Regions from separate parts of the Mus musculus genome. Here regions 2, 3, 4, 5, 6 and 7 are each reported to be linked to region 1. The links are microRNA targets in miRTarBase. Many come from high-throughput screens and were not tested one by one. Region 1 holds a microRNA gene; each other region holds the end of a gene's coding sequence.
The links. The annotated mature microRNA mmu-miR-34b-5p reads AGGCAGUGUAAUUAGCUGAUUGU and lies in region 1 at 1,704-1,726, opposite strand. An mRNA with a match to its seed (bases 2 to 7 or 8) in the 3' UTR can be bound and repressed. Matches are read on the target gene's strand: a 7mer-m8 pairs with bases 2 to 8, a 7mer-A1 pairs with bases 2 to 7 and ends in A, and an 8mer does both.

Region 1 (4,312 bases):
CAGGGGAGCAGATTTCCTGGGATTCCTTCCTGCCGCTAGGACAGCCTCTGGGCCCCGTTTCCATGGTGACTCAGGACGCTTTCCTTAGCTCTGGCGTCCCGCCCCTACCGGAGAACCGTCCTGTTGGTAACTGCCACCACCGGAATGCCTGTGTTTCTTCTTCCGTAGATCTGGGGTTCCTCGAGGGCTTGTGGCCCATCAGCAGCTGGCTTCTGTCGAGGTCACAATTTTCGGGGCCAGTCAAGCCTTAAGAGTAAAAGCCTCAACTTTGTGATGTGTACAGTCCTGGACTGTCTCTTAGATCCTCAGCCAGCGTCTCCTCCTCCCCCAGATAGCCCAATAATGTGAGCTTTAAAGAGCGCCTTCCTCTTTTGGACAAGATTGCCAAGGCTTCGCACTCTTACCTCTGGGGAAATTCTCAGGTTTGCATTGATACATCTGCATAAAGCGCTAATCTAGAACTGGGCCGAGAAGTACCGGTGGATACAGCTTGTGTGATTTAAAACCTCTCAAATCTTTTATTACAGATATTAGGAAACCAGCTGGTTTTAAATCGTGTTCACTAATTATTCCCACGAAAAGTTGCCTAGAACGCAACTGTTAATACCTTAAAAAATATACCTGGTTAAGTGGGCTGAGTTCCCTTGCCCCATGGAAAATTATGAAAACATTTAACGTTCCCTTCCAGGTCACAATCATGTGTGAGACGTTTCCCTGGAGATTTTGTCTGTATAGCAACTAACCATTTAATGACTTTACGGGGTTGACAGGAGCTGAAATGGAGATCCTAAAGCCAGTTTTTGGAAAGGAAATGAACACGATTGCTGAGATTTTCGTGGCGCTTTATTTTTTAGAGTGTTATTAATATGTCAGGCAAAGTCCAAAGATTTATAATCACAAGTCAATATAATGACCAAATCAGCTAAGGGATAATTTCTATTTTTCCAATATATCTAAAAATCACAAAAAATGTACCCCACACAAATTGATACATTGTATACTTAGCAGCTAAGGGCTAGCGGTTCCCCCCCCCCCCCCAAACCACTAATAGTATGGTAAGAATATTTCCCTATGGCTCTGTCCTCACCAAAATGACGATTCACAGGAGGCTCAGTCGGAGGAATTTCAGTCTTTTTACCTGGCTGTGTGGTTAGTGATTGGTACTATTAGCAATCAGCTAACTACACTGCCTAGTAACTAGACTCAGAAAAAAGCATGCAGTCTTTAGCTGGTGCTCTCAGACTTTGGTGTGACCAGAGCAAATCGTCAGCCAAGCTGTGGTTGACTCTAGTCGCTGCCTTGGTGATAGCTTTCTCAGAAGTGGAAATCAGGCAGTGAATCACAGCAGCAGCAGGAACTGTTCTGGGGGGGGGGGGGGGGGGGCTCTTCCTGGCCTTTTTTTTTTTTTTTTTTTTTATGTTAAGGCCGGTGTATACCGATTCTCTTTACACATCACTGAACCGTTTTTGCTCTGGCTCTTACACACAGGTAGCCGAACGGTCCCTAAAGGAGGCCGCCGGTCTCCGAGGGTTACTTGCACTTAGACCTCGTGCTCCCGGCCCTTTGCTGACGCATCCTGGCTCCGGCCTCGGCTTTCTGCGGAGTCAGTGGGGCTGCAGCGCTGGCTTCTCCTCCCGCGGGCGGCGGGTGATGCTGTGCCTTGTTTTGATGGCAGTGGAGTTAGTGATTGTCAGCACCGCACTACAATCAGCTAATTACACTGCCTACAAACCGAGCACCGGGCGCCCGCCACTGCAGCTCCCGAGGGTCGGGCCCCTCGCCCCCTTTCGCCACGGTCGACAGGCGAGGGCGGCGGAGCGAGAGGTGCCTCAGGCTCCCGAGGCCCCTCCACACCCAGCAGGGCCGCGCGCGACCCCAGGTGAACCCCCAGGCGCTGAGGCCCCCTGTCCCCGCCGTCCCCCCCGAGACCCCCGACTCAGCCCGGACCCCAGGGCATCCGGCCCGAGTCCTTCTTCCCGCAAGCCGGGTCTGACCCGCCTCCAACAACTTCTTCACGGCTTCCAGACCCAAGTCTAGAGCCGGTTCTGTCCAGCCCGCGCGCCCCGCAGCTCCTACTGGCCGAGTGACCGTGGCTCAGCGACCAACCGCCCTTGGAACCCCGAGGCCGAGGGGGCGGGGCGAGTGGGGGAGGGGTGGCAGAAGCTACCAGAAGGGGCAATGGGAGGGCTCCTGCAGAGCCTCCTGGGAAGGGGCCGGGGAGATGGAGAGACAGATTCTTGAGAAGTTTATCTTCACAGTGTAGTTACTGCTACATCGAAGAAAGAAGCGCAGAGACCTACATCCATCTCTCCTTCCCAATATATTGCCCAAGAAGCCCCAGGCCTCCTCACTGTTCATATGCCCATTCTCAGAAACCGCTTCCCAGGCGTCTCATCTGGAGCCTTCCTGCCTGAGCAGGCCTGGGCACTCATACCTGCAGGATTGCCCTTGCCTGTACCCAAGTTCTTTCTTAGGACTACCTCTTACAGGGCCATACAGTGAAGTGTGGGCCACTCTTCTGGTCAAACATTGAACCAACACCCTTGTTGGTAGGTCAAAGTTGTGGCCCTTATAAGATCAAAGACACAGTTTTGATGATCTCCCCGTGAGCCTTGAGGATATCTAGTCTCACTTTGGGCTCCTGTTTTATTTAAATGTTACAAATCCAGCACCTAACAGGCGTTTGTCTTACTACCCATCAGACAGTCTAGGTGGTAACAAAATGTGAACACATTATTTATTACTCCAGACAGTATAAAGTTGCTAAACTGATAGATTTTCCTAATAGAAAAAAACAGGTATGGGTGGGGGTGGGAGGTGTGCCAACAAGAGCTGACAGACACCATCATGGAGGAGGTGAGAGTTCAGGTAGATCCTTGAAGCAAGGGTAGATTTGGACATTAAGGATGAGGTCTGTAGAAGCCCGAGAAGCCATATCTTCTGTCAGTTACATTCCCCTTGTTTTTGCTATTTTATATCTGATAACGGGGTGCGTGTTTGTGTATATTGGGAATAGGAGGCGCTGAGGGGACAGCATTTCTGCGCCATCTTCACTAATATTTCTTTCCTTTAGTCTTTCCTCTCCTTTCCTTTAATTAATTGAGCCCAGAGAGGATATACAGTATTCTCTGATTGCAAACTTTGTGGAATTCAGTAGGAAGTAGCCGTCCCAGACTGTGGTCTTCCTGTATGCTGTATGACACCCATTTGTATTGATCCAACAGTCTTGCAGTCTACAAAGGGACATTTCTTAGCTATACACTGATACCTGTAAGCCCAGCAAATGGTCTTGTAGATGCCACTAATTACATGAATATATGCCAATCATCAGGAACATTCAACACAAATTCCAAGTGGAAACCATTAAAACCCAAGAACTTCCCAAGAATAAACTTGTGTATATTTTAACATTATCTTTGAAAGTAAAAGACAATGTTTTTTTCCTTCAGAGTCATTGTTTTATGAAGGCTTAAGTGAAAGGAAAATGAAGTAGAAAATGCCAGATTATTATAAAATTAACTTATGAAAGACATTTGTAAATAACTATCTTGTATTCAGTCTTCTTGTATTTGAGAAAAGTATAATGTATCCTACAAAAGGTCATTTAAACGTTCAAATATAAATAAAAGTAGTAGAAATAGCCTCCATCCCATAAACACTATGAAGAGTTACAAGTTTTAGGAGGACATCATTAAAAAATCATTTATTTTGCATTTTGCTCAATTTCACTCCATGTGTCATGCTTCCACCCAGCTTAGGGATTTTCTCTATTAGTAGCATCTTAAATATCTTACCTGAGTTTTATTGCTTCCATCCAAAGCTATCATTGCATAAACTGTCTTGAAATTTAGACTAAATTTTTTTCTTCAATGATAAAAAGTAAAATGATGAAAAAAAAATGCGTGTGCCCTAGTTCTGTTAGAAAGCAACAATAGAAAAGAATGTCTGTTCTTAGGGTTGCTGTTGATCCTGCCCACAGTTACTAGAGAAACTCCAAGGATCTTATTGCATCTGCTGGTCATGCCTAGGCATGTCTAGAGACCAGGGAGACTCATGTTTTAATCTAAGTAAGAATGCCTGTGGTGTGGTTAAAATGCCCAAGCAGACCATTACATTTGGTTAGATAGATCCAGGAAGGCACCTTGAGGAGGAGCTGTTTACTGCTTTAATTTCTGGGTTTTTGTTGATCTGGGAGATGGGGTAGGACCTTTGAGGAGATGGGTTGATAGTATTGACCGGAAGGAAACCATGAAAAGTATCAAAAACAAGAACTTCCTGCGTGAATCTGACAAATTTATCTTGACTTAATTTA
Region 2 (4,312 bases), not on the chromosome of region 1:
AACCTGTCAGTTTATCCCACCCCTCCACTCTACAGCCTGGGGCCCTTGCAGACACATTTTCATTCCTTGGCCAAACAGCACACCAGGATTGGTTTTCTGTAATATTTGATTCAAGTAATTAGCCCTCACATGTTAGACTCCCGTATTTACTATCTACTTGGGCTAATTGTTACATTTCCCCAAAGACAAAATTGTTGGTTAAAGAGTATCTCAGTGTAGCTGGTCCTCTGGCCAAATAAGGGAGGGCTACTGACTGGGGTGTGTGTGTGTGTGTGTGTGTGTGTGTGTGTGTGTGTGACTGGGGTGTGTGTGTGTGTTACAGTCAACCTGCTGGTCCTCTGGCCAAATAAGGGAGGGCTACTGACTGGGGTGTATGTGTGTGTGTGTGTGTGTGTGTGACTGGGGTATGTGTGTGTATGTGTGTGTTACAGTCAACCTGCTGGTCCTCTGGCCAAATAAGGGAGGGCTACTGACTGGGGTGTGTGTGTGTGTGTGTGTGTGTGTGTGTGTGTGTGTGTGTGTGTGTTACAGTCAACCTGTACAAGATGATAGAGGGAGGGTATTTCTGAAAAATCTTTTAAAAATTTAGTTTAAAAAAATTTGTGTCTGTGTAGAGGTATATTACATAGGAAAGCCACTACTACCCTAGGAAACCAGGGATGTCAGATGCCTGGAGAAAGTCCCAGGTGCCGTGAGCCTCCTGGTGGGTGCTGGGAACCAAACTCAGGTCCTCTGGAAGCCCAGGCTGTAAATAGCCAGTTGTGATGTGGGCCCCACTTCTGCCTGAGGACAGCATGGGGCTGTGGAGGTCTGTGCCAAAATGAGGGTACAGGTACCCCTCAGTGACTTACAGGGTAACTCTCCCTGCTTCCTCCTGTCTTCCAGCCAGCTTCACAGTCAGGATGGGCCCCCCTGACCCCACACACACACAGCTGAGCACAGCTAGGCTCGCAACGGGAGGCTGAGGCAGGCAAAGCAGGGAAGAAGCCACTTCTGTGAGGAGCAGACACTCATAGCTTTGTCTGAAGGGCTTTGGGGCGAGAGTGGCCAGAGCCGGAACCTTTGTCCACCCGACTGAAATGCAAAACGAGAATCAGATTCTCTGCTTTGTCTCCAGGCTATGTACGGCCCTTGAGTCTCTTGTGGTTTTGACAGGTATTGACAGGTAGTGACAGTGGGAGTTTGCTTCTGTGGACCTGGACTTTGGGTGTGGGAGGGAGGACTCCTGCTGCTCACAACTGCCTGAAGCCAGGTCGAGGAACCCAGCTCCTACGGCCACCATGGACAGGTGCCACGCTCACATGGAAAATTAAAGATTAATTTTGAAATAAAACACTGGGGAGACAAGCGGGGTCAGTTAGCCAGGCCCTCTGCTCCTTCATTCCTATGTAACTCAGGAGCGCAGCCCTTGGGATGAAGTCATAGCAGTGTAAAACCACTGTCGGTTGAAAACAGTTAGCCAGGACCTGTGGCACGTGCTGATAAGCCCACTGAGGGAAGTGGAGGCAGGAGGGTTTTGAGTTCAAGGTCAACTCAGTGGGGATTCATACCCCAAAGTGAACATAAGACCATTAAGGAAGTAGATACAGTTGCTTGGCCCAGGGTACTTGGCGCATGCTGTCACTACTTGTCAAGGTTGGGACAAGCCTGAGTATCTTTTATGCTTCAGACACGACACCAGAGCACATCCCATAGTAGTTCCAGCCTCTGTATAAGGATCTCACAGAGCTCCAGCTTTAACCCAGAGACAGAGCTGAACAACAGCAGGTTCCTATCACATAAGGGAATATTACACAGCCATGAAAGAGAATCAGGTCGTAAGGGATGCTGGGCCACCCCCACCCCAGCTCAGACACTTCGGCCTCAATCTCTCTCCAGAGGGATGGACTCGAGGCTCTGGCAGTCTATGAAGGAGTCTCCTCCACTCCAGAGCTCACCCCAATTCTTTTACCTGCCTTACTGTCGCTTCCTACTCTTCACCAACTCTGCCATTGTTGCCAGGGTCCCCTCATCAGGCTTTGCTGGCTGGTGAGCCCCAGAAACGTCAGGGCTGGAATGACAAGTATATCCACCATGCCTCTTTGCAGCACCTCTTTGCCTGGGTGCTAGGATTTGAACTCGGGACCTCATATTTGAGTCCACTAAGCTGTTTTTGAAGCCCAGAGCCACTGTGTGACCGCAGAGGCCAAAATACCTCTTCTCTGAGCCCACTGGTCACCAGTGTCTGGTCCTGCCTTTTCCCCAACAGTGGCAGCATTAAGGAGCACTCCATGCACTAGGTCGGACGAATCTTTCTTTAATACAAAGTTGGTTTATCTACATACAGGGGCGTCACCTGCTGCTTCTGCCCAAAAAACAGCGGGGACGAGTACTGACCCACTCTCCTACAAAGAGAGACCTCAGTTGCTCCAGGGGGTTGGATATCCCCCAAGTGTCCCGTAGTCCCAGGTCCTCCATGCGGGGCACAGAGGTCATGAGTAGACGAGGACCCTCCCTGGTGTGCCAGGGACTGGAGCAGCAAGGCCAGCCACTGTGTCCTTGGTGGCCATGTCCCTGTAGTCTGGCCCGAGTGCCCCCAGCGCCTCACCCTCCATATCTGATATGTCTGAAGATTGATTAAAAAAAAAGTAAAAAGGTTAAAAATAAAAACTAAGCGCACCATTCACATGGGGATGGGGGCAGTGTCGGGCATGTGGGAAAGATGCACACACAGAAGCCGTCGAAGTGGCCGCACATAGCCGCCACACGGCACACTAACTATGAAAAAATAGGCCTCCCACAGAGGCACAAACAGTGATCTTGTTTCTTTTTCAAAGTTTTGACCGGCACGATTTTGTTTTTTTCTTAAAAAAAAAAAAGAAAAAAAGAAAAAGAAAAAAAATATACACTATTAAAAAAAAATAAGAAAAAAAATGTTGCCAAAAGGCAGGCAGGGGAGTGCGGAAGCAGAGGTCGGTCCCTGTGTGACCCCAGCCTGGGGAGCAGTGGCTCCTTCTCTCTCCACCCCAACCCCCCACCCTGGAACCTCGTTTTGGAATCAGAAGGGAATGAGGAAGGCAGCGCCTGTCTCCGCGAAGAGGAGGTCTCCCTGGGCCGCATCCTGCCCAGCGGCGGGCCTAGGCTCACATCCAGGGCACTTGGCGCAGGGCTGAGGTGTTGGGCGGGGCCCATGGCTTATGTTGCATAATGATCAAAACTGCCCAGGTATTCCAAAGCCGCCTGGAAGCAGAACTGGTACTCGTCCTGCAGGGCAGAGGAGACACAGGCACTCATTCCTGGGAGGTTCCCACGGTGGCAGCAGTCCTCCCCGCTCAGAGCCTACAGCCCCTTCTCCCAGCCAGCCCAGTTCTGCCCTGGCCTCAATCTTCCAACCCAGGAGGGTAAGATCTCTGACAGACCCCAAACCTGCAGGGGTGAGGGGCCCCTTTGCCAGAGCCTGAGTTTCCATGCAGGGACTTTGGCTCACCGCCTCCTCAACCATGGGGGATGTTTGAGGCACACCTACAATCAGCCTATAGGTTTCCAGGAGGGAAACTGAGTCTCAGCGGCAGGGACTTCTTGCCCATCACCCCCCATACCTCTGTCTGCACCATGGCAGGCCTCTGGGTCCGAAGCACCTTCACTGTCTGGAAAATGTCCACCACGCCCTCGTAGCGCATCCGCTCAAGCACGATGCTCAGGGTGATGAACACTCCGGTCCTGCCCACTCCGGCGCTGTGGGAGGAGGGGGATGTGCGGTCATGTGGGTGAAAGCCTCTCAGTGGCCCCAGGACCTTCAGGAGCCCAGGTGTGGCACTCACCTGCAGTGCACTGAGATGGGTCCGTCCTGGCCAAACTGCTCCTTGGTCTTATGCACTTGGCCGATGAAGTCAATGAAGCCTTCCCCTGACTTGGGTGCACCCTGCTCTGGCCAGTCCGTGAACTGGAACTGTCGGACGGTCCGGGACTGGCCATCCTGGGAGGATAGCTGGGTCACCATCCCTGTTTACTGTCTAATGGTGTCTTCCACACAGACCATGTGGTCTTTGCCAGGGGGCCTTTGTCATCCAAGGTGCCACCTTCCATTGATGCTGGCTGCCCATTCATCTGACTATGCCACAACCCCCAATGTTGCTGGGTTTGTCCCAGTCATTGTCAAACCCCACCACAGCTCCCAGAAGGTGACAAGCTGCTCCCACTACCCACTGCAGGCCTCTTGTGACCATGCTTCGCTTCTGCCCACCCTGCCCCACACCCTGGCCCTGTGAGCATCAGTCCTCAGCCACCCAAGGCTTAGCCCCTCATCCCACCACCCTGTCCAGGCTCTGGTCTC
Region 3 (4,312 bases), not on the chromosome of region 1:
AAGGTGTGTGCCACTGCCACCAGGCTAACAGTATTTTCGAGATAGGTGTGGTGGTGACGTCACATCTCACAGATATCACAGTCATGAGAGCCATCGTGCAGTCCTGGTGTGATCGTGCAGGTAGATCTGGCCTAGTGGACCTCAAGGGCCCTCCTAGGTAGGCACCACTGGGCTAGATGCCAGGTGACCTGGCAGGCAGGCAGGTGCCTGGGTGCTGCTGACTGAGTCTGTCCCCGCAGGTGTCCTGGCACTGTGGGTCTTGGTGACTCACGTGATGTACATGCAGGATTACTGGAGGACCTGGCTCAGAGGGCTGCGCGGCTTCTTCTTCGTGGGTGCTCTCTTCTCGGCAGTCTCCGTTTCCGCCTTCTGCACCTTCCTGGCATTGGCCATCACCCAGCATCAGAGTGAGGACCGTCCAGGGAAAGGAGGACGGGAGAGGGCCTGGATGGCTTGCTTGACCCTTTCCCCACTGCCCGGGCTCCTTATTGTTGAAATAGGGAGAATGAGAGCCCCCATCTCCTCAGGGGTAGGAGGGTTCGAGTCCGGTAGGAGTTGCTGGGGGTCCTTTAATCTCTGCCTAGCATCGGGCGGGCAGCGCCCCCTGGTGGTGGTGATAAGAACTAGCAGAGGCTGATCCTTGTATCCGTGATGTAGGTTGGAAGGGCGTGTGCCACAGAAGCAGGGGATGGGTACAGACCTGCTGGCCATCTCTGACCTCCTTTCACGATCCCAGCTTTGTAACCAAACATGCAGTGTTTGTTACTCTAAACCTGCATCACATGCCCACCTCTATTGATTCTTTGATAGCACTGATTTCAGAGGTCAGGAGGCTGGAAGGATATGGAGTGGGAAGAAGGGGCTCCTAGCTGTGATGCTGTGGGCAGATCTCTCAAGTTACCGTCTGGCTCTTTTCCCTGCAGGTCTCAAAGACCCGAACAGCTACTACCTCTCCTGTGTCTGGAGCTTCATTTCCTTCAAGTGGGCCTTCCTACTTAGCCTCTACGCCCACCGCTACCGGGCTGACTTTGCGGACATCAGCATCCTTAGTGATTTCTAACCCAGGGAATGAGGTCACCACAGCCTGGGGGCCCTCGGGATCTGGACTCAGCTTCCGAGTCAGCAAGGGAGCTCACCCCAACCCCTGGGGAACTCCAGAACCATGGCAGAGTATATGGGCCCGTTCAGTTTCTCAGAAATCTGTCTGGTCCCCTTTTGGGGAAGATATAGAGCTGTTAAAGGGATACTGCCAATCTGCCCAATCTGCCCGTTAGCCCAGCTAGAGGGCAGCTTAGACCTTTCCAAATAGATCTATTTTCTTAGCCCTCTGAGGGATCTCTGTAAGTAGGGCCACGACAATGAATTCAATGGGTAGGATTGGAACTATGGCTAGTGACAGGGGCTGGGACAGGCTTCCTTGCTACCCCAGACTTCATTGAAGCTGTGTGTGGGGGAGGCATCAAAGGTCTGGTCAAGAGAGGAATCTTTAGTACAGATCTCCATCCCCTGTTCCCCACCCTGTTACCCTGAAGTGTCGGGTAGCCAAACTCACCGGTCCTTAGGGAATTGACAATTGGCTCCTTCCCTAAGCAGCACAGTTGGACAGAATCCAGCGTCCGTCCGTCCTACCTTCCCATCCAGAGTTTGTTTCCCATGAGGGTGCTAGCGCCAGCCAACCATTCCCATGTGTCGCATATGCACACATGACCACACACACCAGAGCAGGACTCCTCGGATGAGGCTAGACTTGAGGACCACAGGAAACACACCCCTGCACTTAGAAGGGCTTTGGGATCGGGGGCAACCTGGTGGGGGCAAGTGGGAGCTCTCCATCTGTACTGAGTCTCCAACCTTGCCCCTCACTGCACAAGACCACCCTGACCGTGAGGACCTCCTCCCTGCACCAGATCCTAACTCTGACCTTTCACCTTCTCTCTCTCCTGAAGGAACTCTTCTGAGTGGACATGGGCCCAAGGCCTTACCTAAGCGGAGAGGGAGGGCAGGGGCTGCTACTCTTCTCTGTAACCTTCTCTGATGGGTTGTCACTTTGCACGTCTACTCTTCCACTTGGGCACTGCCCCCAGCTCTCTGCCTTACCTGTGTTATGGGCACTTAAGCAGAAATACAGCGGCCATTTTAACCAGCCTCAGGGTGTTTCTTTGGGGGGGTGGGCGGTTTTGAGAGGGGACAAGAGTGGGCAAGATGGGGGCTCTAGCTGTCTGATCATCTCCCTAAGTTTGGGGCTACTAGACGGTATTCCTCATCTCTGGTCCCCTATGGGGAGACCACCAGCTGAGATCTCCTTTGCTCTCCCAGTTCTGTCCCAGCCAGGGTTAGGATGCCCACAGACTCAACATCCCTGCAGATTCCATCTCCCCACCCTAAGCCAAGGTAGATGGGAAAGGGAATCTTTCTTTTTCTACCCCAGCCAGACTACTTGGGGCTCCAAGTTGACCAGGATGTGTGGATTCAGAAGCAGAAAGGCAGGAGCTAGCACCTCTCTCACGCTGGGTACACTTGTCCTGGCCTGTGTTTGCCTCACCCTGGCCTTTACAGTGTAAAAACACCATGGGACTTTAGAGCAGGGAAGGATAAGGAACAGTGTCACTTCTAGAGCCTTCTGCTGGTAGACGCTCCTACTGATAGAGGAGGTAAAGACTACTGACCTCCCGGCTAGGCCTGGCTTAAGCCAGGCGTGCCTGCGTCACAACCTTTTGCGGTGTCTTAGCAACCTGAACCTGAGATCTTATTCCCGAATCCCACAGGGCCCAATGTGCAGGGCTCAGCCTGGGGCCATCTCCCTTTTCACCTGGGTTGGTGAGCATGTATTTGGAGTGGTTTCTTCCTGCATGTATTAGCCAAGGAAGGACAAGGGACTAGAGGGTCTGAGTTAGGTCCAGACTTGTCCCCTTTCCCCAGCCCATCACAGGATGCTGGGTGCACACCCACTCCACTGACGATGTCCCACCAACATCCAGGAGGCGTTCTCCCAAGGACTTTAAAGCAAATAAAACATATATTGTTCAGAAGTTTGTTTTTTTTTTTCACTTTTTTCTTTTTTACAAAAACATGCATACATAGACAAGGTACGGTGGGGTTGTGGGAAGACACACACACATATACCCTCTTGCACGCACTCATACACACACATACACACAAATACTCTTTCTTGGTCCCAGACCTAAACCTCAAAAGCCTCGAAGACTTCTGGGGTGGCCTCCCCTCCCCCATGTCTGTCTACTCTCCCATCTTGTTCCCCTCAGCCAAGCTAGTCCTATGTGGGGCAGCAGCCAGAGCTGAGGGGTGGGAGGGACCCCAGAAACAGAAGGCTCATACTGGGGACAGTGACCAGGCATCCCTGGGATTGTGTTGTGCTTTTGAAGGGAGATGAAGGTTTGGCACCGTTGGGTTAGGAGACACAGGACTCAGAGAGCACCTGTCTGCTGCACCGGGGCACTGAGATGGTCCACATAGGGTGGCCTCTGGCGAGACAGTGACTGATGGGAGACTTGCAGGTGACTACTACTCACAGGGAGAGAGCAGCTCAGAATGGCTCTCAGAGCCCAGAGCTACCAGAAAGGCATTTGAGGAAACAGGAGAGAGGAAACTCTCCTGTACTCAGGAATAGGGGACCCTTGGCTCCTCCAGCTCCTAGCCCTTCAGAACCTGAGAAAGGCCACCCTGGCCGAGGCCAAGTTAAGAATAGTGGTTATGGGTGGCCCAGTTGAGCCAGTCCCCCTCTGTGCAGTCCTGAGGGAGGGATGGAGACCACAGCTAGGGGTGTGGACACCAGACGGCCTAATCTGTTCTGGAAGAGCCCAGCTGTGCCCTAGTGCCCAACCTGCTTCCTCCCAGAGTCCTCCCTGGTCCCCTACCCAGATCCCATGGTCTTCTCAAGTTCCTTGGGATAGCCGTCAGGGTAGGCTGTGCTCTGGACCTGACTACCTGCCCAGAGGATCTCTGAAGACCCAGGACCAGGGCTGACATCAGAGACGAGGAGAGCCACATTTGAAGCGCGATCTGTTCTGAAACCCTAGAGGTTCATGGGTTCTTCCTCTTCCACCAGCCGCTCCGAGGGCCTGGGAATGGGACAAGGGCGGGGTGTAGGAGAGCCACGAGATGTAGGCATGCCTTGGTGGGGTTACCCTCATAGTCAGGCTTTAAAGGCCTGAGAGATTAGCTGCATGGGGGGTCTGAGGTCTTCGACATGGGAGGATCCGAGGAGATTCGAAGGCCCTGGGCTTGGGGCTAGGGATCTGGTGTTACCTGTCTTCAGCCAGGATGCCCACAGAAAGGGATGCCAGCGCGGTCA
Region 4 (4,312 bases), not on the chromosome of region 1:
AGGATGTAGAAATGGGGGCCTTTGGGATTTAGAAAGCTTGGGAAAAGGAAGAAGGCAGCTCCAGAGGGGACATGTGACAGAGAGGACTGGGACAGTTGCTGGGGCAGGAGCCGGTGCTGGGTCCTTGAGGTCTCTTCTTCGTCCCCTCTAGTTGTAATAAAACCATGTGTCCCCCATCCTCTCCTGTGAGGTGCTCCACTCTGTCTTCCTTGGCCTAAGTGTGCTGTGTTTCCCCTTTCTGTGGAACCCACTGTCCGCAAAGCACACAGGCCTTCCTCCCTCCTGGGCCTATGTACTCAGCTTCTAGTTGTCAGAACGAGGCCCGCTTATCACCGGCCATTACGGTCCTTCCCCGTGTTTTCCTACTAGAGCCCTTCCCACGCCCTTGCTTTGTCTTCTGAGGTGTGGAAGGCCTGCGGGGCTGCTCCCCTGCATCCCGGGGTCATGAAGGCACTGCTGTGCACACTGATACGGAAATGCTTCCTATTTGCGGGGTGAATTCACACCGTTAAGGCCTCCAACCCTACTCCATCCAGTATCTGCTTTCTTGTCCGGCATAGAACCCACCATCTTCAGTTGTATCTTTTTGTTTGTTTGTTTGTTTTGGTTCCCCCCCACACAACAAAGGTTCCCAGTCCCAAGCGGAAGTTGGAGGAGCCGGTTTTAGAGTTCAGGCCTCCCAGAGGAGCCATCACTCAGCCACTGAAGAAACTGAAAATCAATGTCTTTAAGGTCCACAAGTGTGCCGTGTGTGGCTTCACCACCGAGAACCTGCTGCAGTTCCACGAACACATCCCACAGCACAGGTCGGACGGCTCCTCCCACCAGTGCCGGGAGTGTGGCCTGTGCTACACGTCCCACGGCTCCCTGGCCAGGCACCTCTTCATCGTGCACAAGCTGAAGGAGCCTCAGCCCGTGTCCAAGCAGAACGGGGCTGGGGAAGACAGCCAGCAGGAGAACAAGCCCAGCCCTGAGGACGAGGCCGCCGAGGGGGCAGCATCAGACAGGAAGTGCAAAGTGTGCGCCAAGACTTTTGAAACGGAAGCTGCCTTAAACACACACATGCGGACACATGGCATGGCCTTCATCAAATCCAAAAGAATGAGTTCAGCTGAAAAATAGCCACAGAACTTCCAGGAGGACAACCCCTATCCACATAGGAATGGAGAATAAGACGTTTTTGTTACCAAAAGTTGGCAGTATAACAAGAGTTACCAGTACCGTCTAGGCTGTCGCCACAGACTCCCTGTCCTGCCCTCTCACCTCTGCAGATGTGTCCCTTCCCATAAGTGTTAAGGCAGTATTTGAGTTTTAAAGAGTTTTGTATATATTTAAATAACGTTTTATACTCTTTGTTACATGTTTGTATCAGTATTTGGTGGAAAATGTTTTGAGGTTTCTTTGTGTGTGTGTGTGTGTGTGTGTGTGTGTGTGTGATTAGGATTCTCTTTTTTTTGTACTGTTTCTTTAAAATGGAGTTCTTAGTAACAGCGGCAGTTCCTGAATTCGAACCAACCATTTTGTATGTTACAAATTTGAATGAGTTCAATAATAACAGGCTATCATGCCTTTTTTAGTGTTTTTTAATTTTTAGAACTCGCCACATAAATTGTAAGTGATTGTGGGTCTCACAACACTAGCAACTTTTAAGTGTCTTAGCACCACACGCAGCGTGCCTGCTCCTAGCAACCGAGGGCTCCAAGGACAACATCACCCAGGTGAGGATGTGGCCTGAGCCACCCCAGACAGCGTCAGCCTTCCAGGCCCTACCTCTGTCCACAGTGGACAAAAGAGGTCAGGAGTTCAGTAGGGTGTCCTTCAGTCCATCTGGGAGAGTGAGGAAGAAGAGATTCAAAAAGTGGAGACAGTGGAGCTGGCGAGTTTTCTAGGTTAGTTCACAGGCTGACTTACAGGGCACTAGGAGGCAGGCTAGGAAAAGGGCAGCCTGTGGTCAGAGTTGAAAGTCATAATTAGACCTATAGCTCTCTATTGTCAGGTTTTGTCATAGAACTCACCAACTATTCCGAAGACATATATATACTTCAAGGGTATCAAGTATATCTCTGGTTCTTGATAGGGACAAAAGGGCAGGTTTGACTTAACCCTTTGCTGTCTACACAGTTGGGTTCCTGTTCTGGGTGCTACTGCCAAATGTTCTGGTACTTAAGTGTCGAGACGCCCAGCCTCACCACCGACTTAGCACTGCAGCAGCCTGTACTCTGCAACTGGCCATAGACGAGCCACCAGGCTTCTAGAGTCGTCTCAGCACCCTCTCAAGGTCACCTGACTGGAGCACTGCCGACGACGTGCTCTTGGTCACATCCCTGTATAGTTCTCTGGGAAAGCTATAAATATATATATTTTGGTTATTGTTTTGTGTTTTCCGTTACATTTTATATCTTGTATTTATCGCCCGATATGTTTTGTACTTTTGTTTTCCTAAAACAAAGAAATCCATGTGTGTGTATATAGAGACTTGCATGCTAGACTGTAGTCAATGTTCAGTTCCTTGAAAAGTCTTGCTGCTGTCGGGTGTGCACCTTACACCGCCGCGACTGTATTCAACCCATTTCACATGTAAATAAATGAGGAACGTCTGGCCCTTGAGCTTCTTCAAGAGAGTTATTGGTGGGTCTCTGACATCATACAGTCGGGGGAGTGACTCATTGGGGGACAGGCTGCAGAACACTGCAGGCTTCTTTCCCCCTCTGAAGAATGGCTTCTGGTTCCTATCGGCGACCAACTTGTCGCCACTCTGCCGCTCTCTGTTGACGACATGGGTACAATCCAAGGGTGTGAGATATTCCTCGGCTTGAAGTGTAGTTGCTGTTGCGTGTCACATCCTCACCCACTTGTGTCCACTGCACTTTCACACGTTCCTGCATTTGAACCTTGCAATAAGCCTGCGTGGCAGACACGCAGGTCCGTGCAGCCGTACAGTTGAGGAGGCTGCGCCCAGGTTCAGCTCTTCGCCCGGTCCCTCATAGCTGGTAAGTGGCTTTGCATAATAGAACCCAAATATTTTGCTCTCAATCTTGCCCTTTGTGGTTATGTACATATTGACAAATATTCATTTATTCAACAAATAAAAGTTATGTGCAAAAAAAAATAACATAGTCAAACTTTTGTTCGGGGAAACTATGGCTTTTTAGGAGTTTTGTTTATACTTACATGTGTCTGTGTGAGTGTAGCACACAGTTTGAGTGTGGGTGCTGCAGAGAGACCAGCCCGAGTCACAGGTGGCTGCAAACCAGTTACCCAGCATGTTGCTGGCCACCAAATGCGGGTTCTCTGCAGGGGCAATACAAGCTCCAGAGCACTGAAAGCCGTCTCTCCAGGCTTTTATTTACACTACAGCTTTTATTAGATAACCTGAAAGTAATTTTACTTTCAAAATTAGCAAGATCTCTTGATAACGCGTAGACCTAAGACCTGTTAAATGTTTAGTTTTGAAGGGTTACAAGAACGGCTCTTTAAAATGCCGAGAGGTTCAAAACAGAAATCAGAACCCAGGTCACAAAACTGGCATTCAAGTGCTGTCCCCTGCAGGAAAGCCTGGCCAGTCAGCACCTCCCAGAAGAACTGGTGACCTAAAGGACAGATCTTTTTTTGTTTGTTTGTTTGCTTGGTTTTGTTTTGGTTTTTTTTTTTTTTTTTTTTTTTTTTTTTCCGAGTCAGAGTTTTCCTGTATAGCCCTGGCAGTCCTGGAACTCACTTTGTAGACCAGGCTGGCCTCAAACTCAGAAATCCACCTGCCTCTGCCTCCCGAGTGCTGGGATTAAAGGTGTGCGCCACCATGCCCGGCTTTAAAGGACAGATCTTGAGGACATTTCCCAGGATACAGCAGCGATCAGGAGCTTGTGGCAGCCAGTGAAGGAGTCAAGAAAGATAGAATGAGGGGGCCCAAGGTTAGTTTTGTAGACATTCCAGGTAGAAGACCAGAGTCCTGGAAAAGCCATACAGGAGCATGCCTGACCATGAGTCAAGTGATGCGCATGCAAGTTAACACAGCACTGAGCCAGGATCCCAGTGCTGGCACTTAGCCCCCGTCCAGCGTTCAATAGTCCCTGGTGCTAAGTGTGGGTATTTGAGAGAGAAGACAGAGCAAATGAATGTCTGATGAGTTGTTTTCCTTATTTCCAGTGTTCACTGTGAGTTGGCTGAAGGAGGTATGGCTCCCTAGCCCCTCACTCCATTTTCTCACTGGCCCAGGAACTGGAAGGGAAACGTTGGCCCAGAAGTAACAGTAGGAGGAAGCAGTGTGTTCCCTAACTCAGTGACCAGAACCAGTCCTGTGGTCCCTGGCGTGTCA
Region 5 (4,312 bases), not on the chromosome of region 1:
CTTAGTGTGTGTGCCAAAACACCAGGCAGACTTCCAACTTTTTTCATTCCGTTACCTTTGTTAAAGTATAATGAAGGCAGTGAGAAATAGCTTAAAAAATATTAAACACTTAATAACGAAGAAGTGCAACTTTGAGGAGTCAGAAAGAAACATAAATCAAGTTTTAATACAAAATGTAAACAAACAGTACAGAAGAATGGAGTTACTTGCAATTCTTGTGAAACAAAGCTTTACATTAGAACATCTACTTTTCCTTAAATAGATGACTCTTTATTTCATTAACTCACAAACTATAGGGTTTTTAATTTGTGGGTAGAGTGCTAGTTTCTCTTATATCCTTAATTTTTTAAAAAAAGATTTTAATTACTTGTATTTGTGTTTTGAGTATTTTCCAGAATAGATGTCTGTATGCCACATGTGTACAGTGCAGTAACGTCCAGAAGAGGACATTACAGATGGCTGTGAGCCACCATGTAGTGCTGAGAACTGAACCTGGGTCCTCTGGAAGAGCAGCCAGGATTCTTAACCGTTGAGTCATCTTTCCACCCCCTCCCTTATGGTCTTTTGAGTTTTTGTCTAAATCTATGGTTAAGATATCAAAGTCTTCAAATAAGTACAGAAGAGCCGAATGAATCAATTAAATTATATATTTAAAAGTTTCAAAACATCAGAAGATGACAGGCAGCTATTCACAGGTACAGACTGCCTATGTCTGAGGTCTCCAACAGACAAACACTGTACAAAGAACACAAATTACTCAAAACAGTCACCTTTCAGTATCCTCATGACTCCTTACTATTGATAACACAGTTAATGAAAAGTAGTTAACTGGAAGGAAAATCAAAATTGTAAAATGTATTCTGGGATTCTATCACTTACATTGTAAATTTCTGAAGGGTTGGTGTACACTCAATTTTAAACCACAAGTATCTCAAGTCTTTTACAAAGACTAAAAGTTAAGAAATATTGTGCTTTTTTTCATTATAACAATAACCAAATAAAATTCTTACGTGATAATCTTCATGTTTGGCAAAATGAAAATGTGTGAAATTAACTATTTACTTAATTAACCTTGTAACCATTACTGAAATCTTAGCTCACACTCACATTGAGATGGAAATTCAAGATACAAGCACAGCAACACATTCAAACAACATAACTGGTCAAGATATGTTACTTAACATTAAGTGAAGAGACCAAAAAGTAGGTAGTATAAACCAGAGAAAGTATTTTCAGAAATTGGATGTTGTACCTATAGCCGTACCACCTGCACGTGTATGTCTCCTCTGACCTTGGAAGCTAAGCAGGGCCAAGCCTGGTTAGCACTTGGGATAAAGGGTTTTGTAAGAAAACCTTTTCTTTTCCTAAGATGCCTTTTGAGGTAGCCCTCATACCCACACAGTCTGTAACTGGACAGTACATCTCACTTCTAGTTACTAGAAGACATTTATTTAAGAGACTGGAGTAAAGGGGAACAGAGGCTACAAACTTCCTAGGTTTGCTCAATGCCCCTTTAACAGGACAAGTGATGAGTTTAAGTTAAATTGCAGATTCTTAAACCAAAATAAAGAACAAAGGATAGTGAAGATAAACACCATTTTTAGAAAACCTTTTTGTCCTTTAAAATATATTATTCTCCTTCTAGCAGGAGTTTACAGAGTCCACCTAAGACCTTTGTAAGAACACAGAACCCAATAGGGGCAGGGGGGGGGGGCACAGCACCATAGTTTCAGACATACAAAACATTCAGCACTGACTAGAATAAGACCAAGCTGCCCAACAGACAGGGACAAGTCCCAACATGGAGGAAATATATTATCTATTTGAATAGAAGAAAAGTGGAAGATATGTTTAGGTGAGAATGAAGAAGGAAGTGCTAACTCCTTGTACTACAAGGAAGGAATGGGATTTCTTTATCAAAAAGCAGAAAGAAAATGCAAGCTTCCAAATGGATTTCTGATGCTCAAACTCTATCATACGCTGCTGGTAACAGTAAATATATATATATATATCTATATTCATATATGTATATCAAAAAAGGAAAAATAATCTATAGAACAGTCAGTAGTCAGAGACATTTAGAAAAAAGTAAAAACAAGTCTTTCTTTTTAAAAATGGGTTTACTAGAACAGCTTCACACCCAGAGGACCTACAGCCCCACATCCTCTGATGAAGCCATGGTGTTATTCACAAATATCTGCTGAGGCCATGTTGGAAACTACAGGCATTGGGGTTAGGGCTGCAAGGCAAAAGCTGTTATCTGCCAGTCTTGCTCATGGCCATGCGTGAAGCATGGTGGAGTCTGGAATACTTGTGAATGAGGGTTTCCCAGATAAGCATGCATCACCGAGGCTCAGTAAAACATTCTCATTAGTCATCCCTACTCCCTCCAGAAACCTGGATCTGTGTACCTACCTTTCTTTTCTAAAACACAGACCCAGATGGACTTCTCAAACCAATGGCCTACTTGCCTTGAAGTAAGAAAAAACCAAACCAAACCAAACAAACAAACAAAAAAAAAACCCCTTCTTCCCAGAATCCAGTCTAATCAGATATTCTAACCTGCTTGACATCCTCCTGAGGAAAGTGAGGGGATCTTTTGGAGGATTTTCTTATTGGTCTAAATAAACACAAGCAGCTGAGGTCATAGACTGCACTGCCACTCCAAGACTTCTAGAAGGGATAACTTTGGCCTGCTTCTCTTAACTGGATCAGTAGGGCATAAATGTCAGTAATTACAAAGTTGTGCTCTGACTCCTGTCCAATTATCCTAACTAAGGATATTTAAACGGTCAGGGCCTTCCAATGGCACCACCTGTAGGTTGTAACCGTCTACAACAAGTATCAGTTGGTCGAAAGCCACTTCTTATATGCCCCACTAAGCACATCAATGTATTAATGCCAAACAGCCTCCTGAGAGTTCCATTAGAACCTGACCTTAATTCAGCAAACCACACTCAACGAATCAAGAGTTGAAATACTTGGCTGCTGCACCAAAGAAGACATCCTCTGCACAGATGATAAGAGAATGGAGCCCACACAATCCATGCAGAGAGGAAGCCAGCACTAAGAGGACTTTTTCTGAAGTCCATTCATCTTTGGAAACAACATTCTGAGTGGTCGGAACCACTCTGCTTGATGAGTAAGGTCTCAATGTGGTCCACTTCCCCCCATGTTGCAAGCTAACCAGACATCTGCTAACTGGTCTCTTTAAGATCCTCCATTGGTAGTTTGTAGCTCATTAGGAAGGGAGGAGGTGGTGCTTGGCCTGGGCTATCTGGCCCCTGCTTCTTTGCACAGTTTATACAGATGTAATCTTCATTTTCAGCCATTTCTGCGGATACACCAACACAAACTTGATGAAACCACTCATCACAGCCACCATCACACTGTACCCAGTCTACCTGTAGGAGATAAAGATTGGGAGATGTTTAGCATCATAACAGTAAGGCCAGAATAAAAGCAAACCAGAGAACTTTCTTGGAATTAGAAGAGCAAACAACTGGGATATCCAGAGATAGATATGACTTCTTATGGGGTTATTTTTCAAAGAAAGAAGCTGAGAAGTTAATACCCCCAAATTATATTTTACCATAGTGTGTCCACAAAATTAGGCCTCTTAGGTACTCCATTCCCTCATGAATACCTGGGGTTCCTTGTGAGGCAGAAACATGATTGGGGAATACTTAACAAAAAAGAAATTTCTAATAGAGCAGCCAAGTAGTTTTAGCTAATATTAACAATTTCTAGGCTCTAAAATAATGCAATTAACAATCAAGAAAGGAAGAGGACAACAATGTGAGGCAATCCTGTGGATTAGCTTTATTTCAAAGAGATAAGCCAAAGTACTAAGAGCATTAAATACCTTTTTAGAAAAGCAGTCACATAGGCCACTTTTAAAACTACTATTTTTTATTCTTCTCTTCTTCCGTTACAAATACAACTCCCTATAAAAAGTTAGCAAATATCAGAGGTCAAATCTTACAAGTTAACCAATTACAACAGTCAAAGACACAGGTCAATAGATTAACTCTGGGGTTTAAAATTAGTCTGAGAAAGTGACAGGTGTCAGCGGCAGATGCCAGGCAAACACTGATCCTTCAGACCCTACAGTGACTAGGAGGGGCACAAAAGGGCTTTAGTTTGGTGACTTAAAACCTTGGCGCTAATAGTAAAGTAGGAAAGTAGTGCAACTTCAGGCTTTTCTGTTCAGAAGGCAACCTTATACTTAATGTCCTATCAGACAAGATCTATCATTACAATAGGGCTACGGGCATCCCCCTTCACAATACAAAGGCTGGTTACTGTGGTG
Region 6 (4,312 bases), not on the chromosome of region 1:
ACATGCTGCCAGGCAGGCCTTGTCTAGCTCCTCAGAAGGGGAAGGCTTGGGCCATGCGGCCATGTTCCCAGTATTCATACTGGAATGCAGCTTAGCTGTTTGAACAAAGCCAGCTATATGTTTTCTTCTTTCAAGGCCAGCAGGGTGCATAGGACAGATGAATCTTGGCATTCAGGGACACTTGGTTGTCCTGATGTGTGTTTGGCCTGCAGCTGGACCTTAGCGAGACAGCAGAGCTAAGGGCTCACAACCCCTTCTGGATGCTCACCCACTGTAGTGGTGAAGTGGTGGCACAGGGCTGTTGGGTGTCAGGAAGTGGCCTGGGTGGCTGTCAGCTGACTGCGCGATGTGGAAACATGCTGGAATAGGAACTTGTGCTCAGCTTCGCAGCCAGAGACTTCTCTAGAGGAAGACACGAGCAGGAGGAGCCAGTAAAGCTAAGCTTAAACAGGAAGAGAATGTAACATCCCACATCCTCTCTTACAGAACGTCACAGAGGGGATGGAATAAGCAGCCACACGGCCTTTGGAGCAGGGCTGTACAGATGTAAGGTAGGATGTGTCTGATGTCTGTGCAGGGGTTACTGCCTCGAAGATCTCTGGAGGGTAACCACGAACTCAAACTATCTCTTGTCTCCTGTTCATCACTGGGCATCTGAGCATTCTGGGCTCCCAGCAGTGTCTTCAGTCTCCCTGAGGGTGTCTAAGCTGGACCTGTTTGTCCAGTGAGCAAGAACACTCTGGAAGTGGGATACGTGGCTGTCCTCTGCTTGCCCTGGGTACCAACCTGGCCACTAGTGACCATGGGCTGTGGTTCCTGGGATAAGTGTGGATGTGGAGGAGCCTTTTTCAGGTGTCTGTCAGGATGTCATAGAAAACAGTCTGTCCGTGCTGCCTGAGATCCTGTGCATGGCCCGTGCGTTGTGGTAGCTGTGGAATTTCTGACCACCACCACCACCATCATGACCAGTCAGCCGATGCTCTGTGCTGCTGCCTGGTGTGTGTGTGTGTGTGTGTGTGTGTGTGTGTGTGAGACTTTGGGACTCCCTCCATATGTGCAAGAGTGAGTCTGCAACGTGCAGGACTCAGTGCTCAACAGCTGTACAGCCATGTTGCAGGCACCAAGGGCCTTGGGTGTCAGGAACGATTTCCCTTCACCCTGGAAAAAAGTGTGTCTTCTGAGGCTAGGCTGGATCTCAGTTAAAACTCATGACACGTGGTGTGCCCAGGAGCCAGAGTGACACTGTCCTGTCCCCGCCAGCTACCATCCTCATCTTGCTCAGCATGCTGCAGGCTCTGCAGGGGCAGGAGAACGGTAGCCACAGGCTGCAGCAAGGTGTCCCCTTCCCTGCCTGCCAGCCTGTTGGATCCTTCAGGATCCAGTGTGCTTAGTCTCCATCACCTGCCTGGAACCAACTCTACCGCACACTACAGCCAGGTCGGGATGCCAGGCTGTAGACTCTGGGCTATGGTAAGATCACTCATAGCAAGTGAGTGGGTGGGCGCTGTCCCCTGCCAATGCCCCTTAAGCACACTTGGGCTGTGCTGTGTGAGTGTGTCAGGTGATGTGAGTAGGTACCCTGATGGGCAAGGAGCTTCTGGGATGCACACTGAGCCCCTCGCGTCTGCAGACAAATACAATTCACATAGCCCAGTATGGACGGCTCTCATGGCTGCAAAGAGCAGGAATCTTTATTTGGTTCACGCCAGATCTGCAGCAACCACTTGATATTAAAAAAAGGTGAAGGGAAAAGTACGCTGTACAAAAAAGATGGAACCCCTTAGAAACCAGAAATGCATCGGGTCACCTGCTGAACCTCACTCTCCCTTCAACCTCCCCGGATCCAAACCAGCTCCAGGAGGAGGGACAGGCGGTGGACAGGGAACAGCGTGGATAACGGAAACAAGAAAGCTGAGCGTCGCTGGAACATGCTCTAATCTGTAGTTTATTTCTGGTTAAAAATATAGCAATCCAGTGCACTGTAGTAAAGAAATCTGCTCAAAAGGTAGCAGAGAACACAAGCAAAGCAAGGCGGAGTCCGTAAGACAGACGGGCGGGCGCACCCAAGGAGACTGACGGAGCCACGGGGGCCAGGCGGGCTGGCATCCCTTATTCATTTGTTTGGATGAGGGAACAACCCTGGTAGAGAAGGCAGAGACATGAGGAACCTGTTGTTTGACTGAAACAAGTTACATTGGACATCCGGGAGTGCTGGGTATGCAACGGGGCCCAGGGCATTCTAGCCACTGGCTTCAACCACATTCCTGTCCCGGGACCAGACTCTCTGGAGTAGCTCTGAGGCATCTGGAGGGAATATGCATATCTGTTAGGGGAAGTCGAGGCAGGCACAGTGCAAAGATGTGAGACCCCGTGGAGGTCAGTGAGAGGTGACGTCCTCCGTGGGGCGCCACTGCCAGGGACACGGAAGCCTGAATATACATCCTGCATACTAGGTGCAAAACGAACGGCACATGCTCAGACAGAACCCAGGCGTGCTGTCAGGCAGTCCGGGGCATGTGGGCCATAGCCCCCTTGGCATCAGGGCTCAGATGTGCCCGGCCAGGTCGGGGTCAGCCCTGGACGTCTGCAGCATGGCCTCCCTGGGTCTGGAGGGAGGATGGCTGGACAGGGCCAACAATGAGTGAGCGGAGGACAGCAGGGAACAGACTTTGCCTTAAGACTCAGTGTGGGAAGGAGGCCTCCTTAGGAGAGCCTTGGGGCAGTGCCAAGAAGAGGGATCATGGTCTTTTCTGGGAAGAAGAGCAGGGGCTTTCCTCTCCCTCCACAGGTACGCAGCACAGACTCCATGGAGACAGAGGCCAGGACACCCTGTCCCTGGGCCTGGGCCCACACTCCCAGCTACTCACACAGCTGCACTCCCTGGCTGCCCTCCCCCTCTCCCGGCTTGCCGGGCACCCCGGTCAAGGCGCCACCTTCCTCCACACCTGGCGGGAAACATGAAGGTCCCGATCTTTTGGCCACTGGTTTGCCCGGACCCGCTCACACCAAGCTGGACGGGTGGCATGCCGGCCTCCTCCTTCCAGGCCACACAGCATTGTGTTATACAAGCAAAGAATTTTGGCTAAAATCCAAAAAAACATTACCCAGAAAAAAAGGCAAACTGTGATTGATACCCAATCATGTTGTTCTTCTGTGGAAGGACAGGCGCCGTGGGGCTGTCCCGAGTCATGGAGCCCCCTCCATGTTTTGCTTTTAGCGTCCCTTTTGTACATCATCGCTTCCGTGGTCACACCGATCTTGTCAGATGAAAAAGTTAATAAACAAAATGGCGACTCCAATGTTGAGCAGGATCACCATGACGACCAAGATGGGAGCTGAGCCCTGGAACAGAGAGGACAGGCGAGAGTGAGGCCAGTGCAGGGCCTCGGTACACACAGTGCCTGATGGAGAGGCTCCCCTCCTGCAGTCCCTCTCTGCTGGCCCTCAGGGCTCTCGACACGAGTCTTCCTCAACCTGGTGGGAAGCTCTAACCTGGGTCACCTGGAGTCTCCTGTGCTCAAAGACCTGCTTGCTGCCCATAGGCTGCTCTCTTGGGTCTAGTTCTTATCATACACCCAGTAACTAGCTTCTCCCAGCACTTACTCAAGCCCTTAGCTCTCAACACGGCTCACCGTCACCCCCATCACATCCACTGGCCCCGAGGGGCCCAAGACATCTGCCTGTTTGGCTGCCTGCTCATGTACCTTGCCTTGTTGCAGCCCAGGGAGCAGACTTTGCACACAGAGCAGGAGGGGAAGCCCCACAGTCCCATCGCGACGGAGGCTTTGCATATGCCCTTGACAGCCGTCCAGAGAGGAACACAGGAACTGTCACTGCGGAAGCCTCAGCCAGGCCCTGTGTGTGCAGAGCACATCACAATAAGCAGCTGTGAGCTGCCATGTGGGTGCTGGGAATTGAACCCAGGTCTTCTGAAAGTGCAGCCAGTGCTCTCAGCTGCTGAGCCAGATCTCCAGCCTCGAGACACTGAACCAACAAGAAGTTTGTTTGGCCAGAACTGCAGGCTTCAGGGAGCTTTCCCCCTTATTTCTTGCTCTATACCTGAGTGTCCTCACACTTGACTCACCAGGCTTCATATACATATTTTACTTAGTGTGCTTTACACGGCACATGTCCTTTCCTACTGAACTACCTCTACAGCCAAAGCAAAGGCTTTTTAAAATACCCTGGGAACTAGCCAAAGGGAGAAAGATCCAGCAGCCAGTCCTACCAGGGTTCAGGACCCAAGCAGCCCAGCCCATTCTCCTGTTACCACTTTGCTGAAGACTTTGTTGGAGACCCAGGCTCTCCCTGG
Region 7 (4,312 bases), not on the chromosome of region 1:
CTATCCATCTATATCCACCTACTAACTACTTGTTTTGTAGTGAAATTCCTTGTAGAGACACAAGTCTCTTTGAAGTACATGGTTTAGTGGTGTTTTGTAAATTTGCAATGTTGCACAACTATTACCTCTGTTATTCCAAAACATGTTCATCACTTCTCCCCCCACAGAACCCTTGTATTCATTAAACAATCTCTCCCCATAGCCATTCTCCCCACCCCCTCCAGCCCTGGTAACTGTTAATTTGCTTTATGTTGTTATGGATTTGTCTGTTCTGGATATTTTATTTAAATGCAATCATATAATACTTGGACCTGTGTGCTTGGCTTCTTTGTGTCAGCATGTCTTTAATGTTCTTGAATATTATAGCATGTGTTGCTGTTTCACAACCTTTTATGGTCAAATAATGTTCTATTGTATAAATATATATGTTTGTCTATCTGTTTCTGGGTACTCAGGCTTCTGTAAATATTGTATAGAATCTACACAGTAAACATCTACATAGGTTTCTGACTTGATTTTTTTGGTATGTCTTGAGGGTGGAAATACGGGCAGTGTGGGAACTCAGCTTAGCTTTATAAGAACATCCCCTCGCCGGGCATGGTGGCGCACGCCTTTTATCCCAGCACTTGGGAGGCAGAGGCAGAGGCAGAGGCAGGCAGATTTCTGAGTTCAAGGCCAGCCTGGTCTACAGAGTGAGTTCCAGGACAGCCAGGGCTATACAGAGAAACCCTGTCTTGAAAAACAAAAAACAAAAAAACAAAAACATCCCCTCTATTCCTAGCAGCAGTTGTCTGGCCTGTCTCCACCAAGTGTCCACACACAACTCCATGGCCTGCTTTAAGGTCAAAACCACTCCGGACTTGACCAGCGAAGAGTTTCGGTTCAATTTCTTTTAGAGTCTCCTACATGCTGGACCGCTCATCCCCCTCCAGGGCGGGGTAAGGATGTGTCCTGATTGCAGGGCCTTCCCAGGAATTCTCTCAGCAGAAGTGGGGTTGGTTTGTCCTTCATTGCAGCATGAACCTGAAGCGGCTGGCCTATGTGAGGCTGCTATGTGGATGTGGAAACCTTTGAAGGAAATATTCTTCCTGTCAGAAGAGAGGTGCGAAGTAGCTGCTGGTGATAAGGAACTGTGGGGAAGTTGTGGACACAGTGGGCTCACTTTTGAAAAGATGCTCAGGCCATTTTCTAGTGCTTTGTATATTGTTATATTGCCTTAATAAATCTTTTCTAAGGAAAAAAAAATCCATTGCAGAACCCAAGGCTATTCTCATTTTACCTACTCAGTGAATGAAAAGGTCAGTTTAGGGCTGGCGAGATGGCTCAGTGGTTAAGAGCACCAACTGCTCTTCCGAAGGTCCCAAGTTCAAATCCTAGCAACCACATGGTGGCTCACAACCATCCGTAACGAAATCTGATGCCCTCTTCTGGAGTATCTGAGGATAGCTACAGTGTACTTACATATAATAAATAAATGTTTAAAAAAAAAAAAAGAAAAGGTCAGTTTAGGAACTTTGGGAAGGTCATGAAAAACTTGCCCCTCCGGAAGGGAGAGGCTAATTAACATTTCTCACACAACAGTACAGGAACTGACCTGTGGGTGGGGACACATTCCACAGGAATTTTGCCCACCTTCAAACAATGGAAGTCCTTGTCACTTCATTCCCTAAAGACCAATCCGTTTAAAGGGTGCACTGTTCCACCAATCATATTGTGCCTAGTTGCTGATGCTCTATTCTGCCCCTGGAAACCTTATAAAACCGTGTGCTGGGGGTTGCCACCTCTCCTTAGAGTCTTTGATGCTTTTTGCATCCCAGCTCCACGTGGTTCACTCAGGGGATCCTCAGACTTAACGTGACCTTTTGCCTCAGTCTAGGCCTTTCCTTCCCCCTGTACTGGATATCTTTCTCTGGACATACCCCTGGGCCTTTGGATACGTTTTTCCTTCTTCCTAGAAGGTTCAGAAGCGCCAGTGCAACTCAATCCAGGAATCACTTCTTTCCTGTGGCTCTTTCAGTGCTCAATTTACCTCCTTGGCATCTCACAGGGTTTCTATAGCATTGCTTTCTGCACTCCCCTTCAGACACTTGGCAGGCTATCTTTGGCCTCAAGTACGATTTTACAGCAATGATTGTCATCTCCCTAGGGTACAAAAGGCATAACCAGAGAACACTAACTTTTTCGAGTACCATGGGGTTAGCAACTGACTAGGTTCTTACTTGGGCCCATGTTTGGGGGCAGGTCTCCTTTTCTCCCAACAACATTGTGACCTCTCCTCAGAACTTTTGTTGTTGTTGTTGCCTGTCTTTTTGAGAGAGATAGGGTCTCACTTTGCAGCCCTGGCTTTTTAAAAACTCACTACATAGATTGGGCTAGCCTTGAACTCACAGAGATCCACCTGCCTCTGCTTCCAGAGTGCTGAGATTAAAGGCACAATTATGCCTGGCTTACTCCCCAGAACTTATACCAGACACCAAGTTCAGGAGGCAGGATTGTACTTTCCAGAGGTTTTTACTGAGAGGACTGAGGGGGGTACCCCAGCTGGAGGGCTGAAGGCCCAGGAAAGGCACACAATGGCAGTAGGGTGTGTGTGTGGGGGCGTCTCCCTCTTGGTGAGGGCTGGTTTAGCAGACACAGCACCTCCTGTGACCCCTCTTTGGCACTGAGCTGGGAACATGGTGCCCTCACTTCTGCCTAGCTGGCAGAGGGCACCCCCAGTGGCAACTGGCAGTATAGGCTGGTGAAGGGCCAGGTTTGGCACCAGAGACTGGGTAGATTGAAGGGACCACCCAGTCACCTCCTGTGCTGGCAGGGTACTCATGTTGGCAATTTAGACAACTATAAACTGGGAGTCCAATAAATTAGGTTGTAGAGGTGGAGGAGTGGGAGGGCCAGGGCTATATTCTCTTCATGGCTCAGGAGGAACTCTGTCCTTCTTGGGTAACCATGGGGAAGGGCACACTTTGGGCCCTGTCTAATCCTGGGCCCCATTAGGCTGTTTTCATGGCAGGGGGTATCCTGTGGGACAGGGGCATTGGCTGGTCACACAAGGGGATGGCAACAAAGGGATGGATCAAAACAATGACAAGGATTTGGGTTTCGGCAGGGATGTAACCCACAACTACCAGGGTTGCCACACATTCTGGCTGCTGGCAGTAAGGGAGGCAGCTCCTGCTTACTTCCTATGGCTCAGCCATACTGGTATAGAGTCAGGACTGGGGACTTCCAAACCCTCCATCCCTCCCCAGGGAAAAGTAAAAGACACACTGCCCTGAACAGGGCAGAGTTCCTGGAGCAGAACCCAGAGTGAAGGTGGAATGCAGTGTGTCCCCATTCATATCTACCTGTCCCAGAGTGGGGTCTTCAGGGAATGCAGGTAATTGGCTAGGAGGCTTGGGAGGGGTAAGGCATGCAGGGCAATGGGGGAGGGGAGGAGCTTCCTTCATGTGATCCGAGAGCCTGGAGAAGGGTGGGAGCTGGGGATAAGGTCCCCAGTCAAGTGGGGACTCCTGGGACCAGGGGTTGAACTGGAGCTGCAGCTTCGCCAAGGATCTGGCGGAGCTCCTGAAGGCGCCCCTGCATCTTGGGGATGCCCGCCAGTTGCTGCTCCAGGCGCTGCTTCTCTTCAGTCAGGCTCAGGCGGGCAGCAGAATCCAGCTTCTCAAACTTCCAGCCTCCTTCCCCATCAAACTGCAGCAAGTGTGTGTGGTACTTCCTGAACAGGAGAGGGTAGAAAGCTGTCATAGCTGCTTTCTCACTTCAGGTGGCAGCCTCACCCACAATTCCAAGAGCACCTACCATAGGGAGGGTCGATGGGTGATGGAGAGCAGTGCGATACCAGCATCTTTGGCTGCTTGGAAGATCTTGCCTTCCACATCAATGCTCACGGCACTAGTGCACTCATCCAGGAGGGCGTACTTGGGCCTTAGGGTGGGGGTGGGTAAAGGGGAAAGCTGTGAATTACCTATCACTGTCCAACTTTCAGCTCCTGGCTAAACACTTGTGACCCACAGCCCTGCTGCACTGGGGGAGAGCTGGGAGAGAGGTGAAACTCCTTCAGGTAGCTCCCTATTGGGAGAACTCATTTTTTCCTCTCTTGTTGGGTCCAATTTACTGAATGTCCTTGAAAGTCGCTGCAGCTGCAGTGCTCACCTGTGGTAGAACATGCGCGCCATACCAATCCTCTGCTTCTCACCTCCAGACAGGACGTCCTTCCAGTCACACACTGCCTCCCAACCTGGGCAGGAGGTGAAGGACTCAGCTCAATTCAACAGAAACCCAATGGGAGTCAGGGTAGGGTGAGGGTTAAATG

Region 2: miRTarBase lists Ptprs as a target of mmu-miR-34b-5p. Seed matches in the 3' UTR shown: 7mer-m8 at 2,678-2,684.
Region 3: miRTarBase lists Slc48a1 as a target of mmu-miR-34b-5p. Seed matches in the 3' UTR shown: 7mer-A1 at 1,246-1,252 and 7mer-m8 at 2,073-2,079.
Region 4: miRTarBase lists Zfp532 as a target of mmu-miR-34b-5p. Seed matches in the 3' UTR shown: 7mer-A1 at 2,144-2,150 and 7mer-m8 at 2,294-2,300.
Region 5: miRTarBase lists Kdm5a as a target of mmu-miR-34b-5p. Seed matches in the 3' UTR shown: 7mer-m8 at 76-82.
Region 6: the mRNA of Jph3 is a reported target of mmu-miR-34b-5p. Seed matches in the 3' UTR shown: 7mer-m8 at 2,719-2,725.
Region 7: the mRNA of Abcd1 is a reported target of mmu-miR-34b-5p. Seed matches in the 3' UTR shown: 7mer-A1 at 3,151-3,157, 7mer-A1 at 2,726-2,732 and 7mer-A1 at 2,575-2,581.

What each region holds. Positions count from the first base shown.
Region 1 is chr9:51,101,907-51,106,218 of GRCm38, forward strand. Mir34b (microRNA 34b) reads right to left here and starts at 1,739; the gene lies at 1,656-1,739. Mir34c (microRNA 34c) reads right to left here and starts at 1,204; the gene lies at 1,128-1,204. Hoatz (HOATZ cilia and flagella associated protein) reads right to left here and starts at 172. Exons shown (of 6, transcript NM_177702.4): 1 at 1-172. The coding sequence starts at 64. It also overlaps a transcript of Btg4 not described here.
Region 2 is chr17:56,410,151-56,414,462 of GRCm38, forward strand. It overlaps Ptprs (protein tyrosine phosphatase, receptor type, S), which reads right to left. Exons shown (of 33, transcript NM_011218.2): 31 at 3,801-3,955; 32 at 3,579-3,714; 33 at 2,276-3,243. The coding sequence ends at 3,175. Among named protein-coding and RNA genes, the nearest start is that of Mir6977, 6.6 kb to the right of the region's middle.
Region 3 is chr15:97,789,664-97,793,975 of GRCm38, forward strand. Slc48a1 (solute carrier family 48 (heme transporter), member 1) reads left to right here. Exons shown (of 3, transcript NM_026353.4): 2 at 240-407; 3 at 924-3,029. The coding sequence ends at 1,060. Hdac7 (histone deacetylase 7) reads right to left here. Exons shown (of 25, transcript NM_001378971.1): 24 at 4,267-4,312; 25 at 3,018-4,079. The coding sequence ends at 4,034. Among named protein-coding and RNA genes, the nearest start is that of Slc48a1, 7.5 kb to the left of the region's middle.
Region 4 is chr18:65,686,335-65,690,646 of GRCm38, forward strand. It overlaps Zfp532 (zinc finger protein 532), which reads left to right. Exons shown (of 10, transcript NM_001361053.1): 10 at 628-3,109. The coding sequence ends at 1,122. Among named protein-coding and RNA genes, the nearest start is that of Oacyl, 9.8 kb to the right of the region's middle.
Region 5 is chr6:120,438,079-120,442,390 of GRCm38, reverse strand. It overlaps Kdm5a (lysine (K)-specific demethylase 5A), which reads right to left. Exons shown (of 28, transcript NM_145997.2): 28 at 1-3,404. The coding sequence ends at 3,198. Among named protein-coding and RNA genes, the nearest start is that of Il17ra, 23 kb to the left of the region's middle.
Region 6 is chr8:121,788,429-121,792,740 of GRCm38, reverse strand. Jph3 (junctophilin 3) reads right to left here. Exons shown (of 5, transcript NM_020605.3): 5 at 1,658-3,342. The coding sequence ends at 3,262. Among named protein-coding and RNA genes, the nearest start is that of Klhdc4, 39 kb to the left of the region's middle.
Region 7 is chrX:73,736,715-73,741,026 of GRCm38, reverse strand. Abcd1 (ATP-binding cassette, sub-family D (ALD), member 1) reads right to left here. Exons shown (of 10, transcript NM_007435.2): 8 at 4,153-4,237; 9 at 3,799-3,924; 10 at 2,493-3,715. The coding sequence ends at 3,496. Among named protein-coding and RNA genes, the nearest start is that of Plxnb3, 18 kb to the left of the region's middle.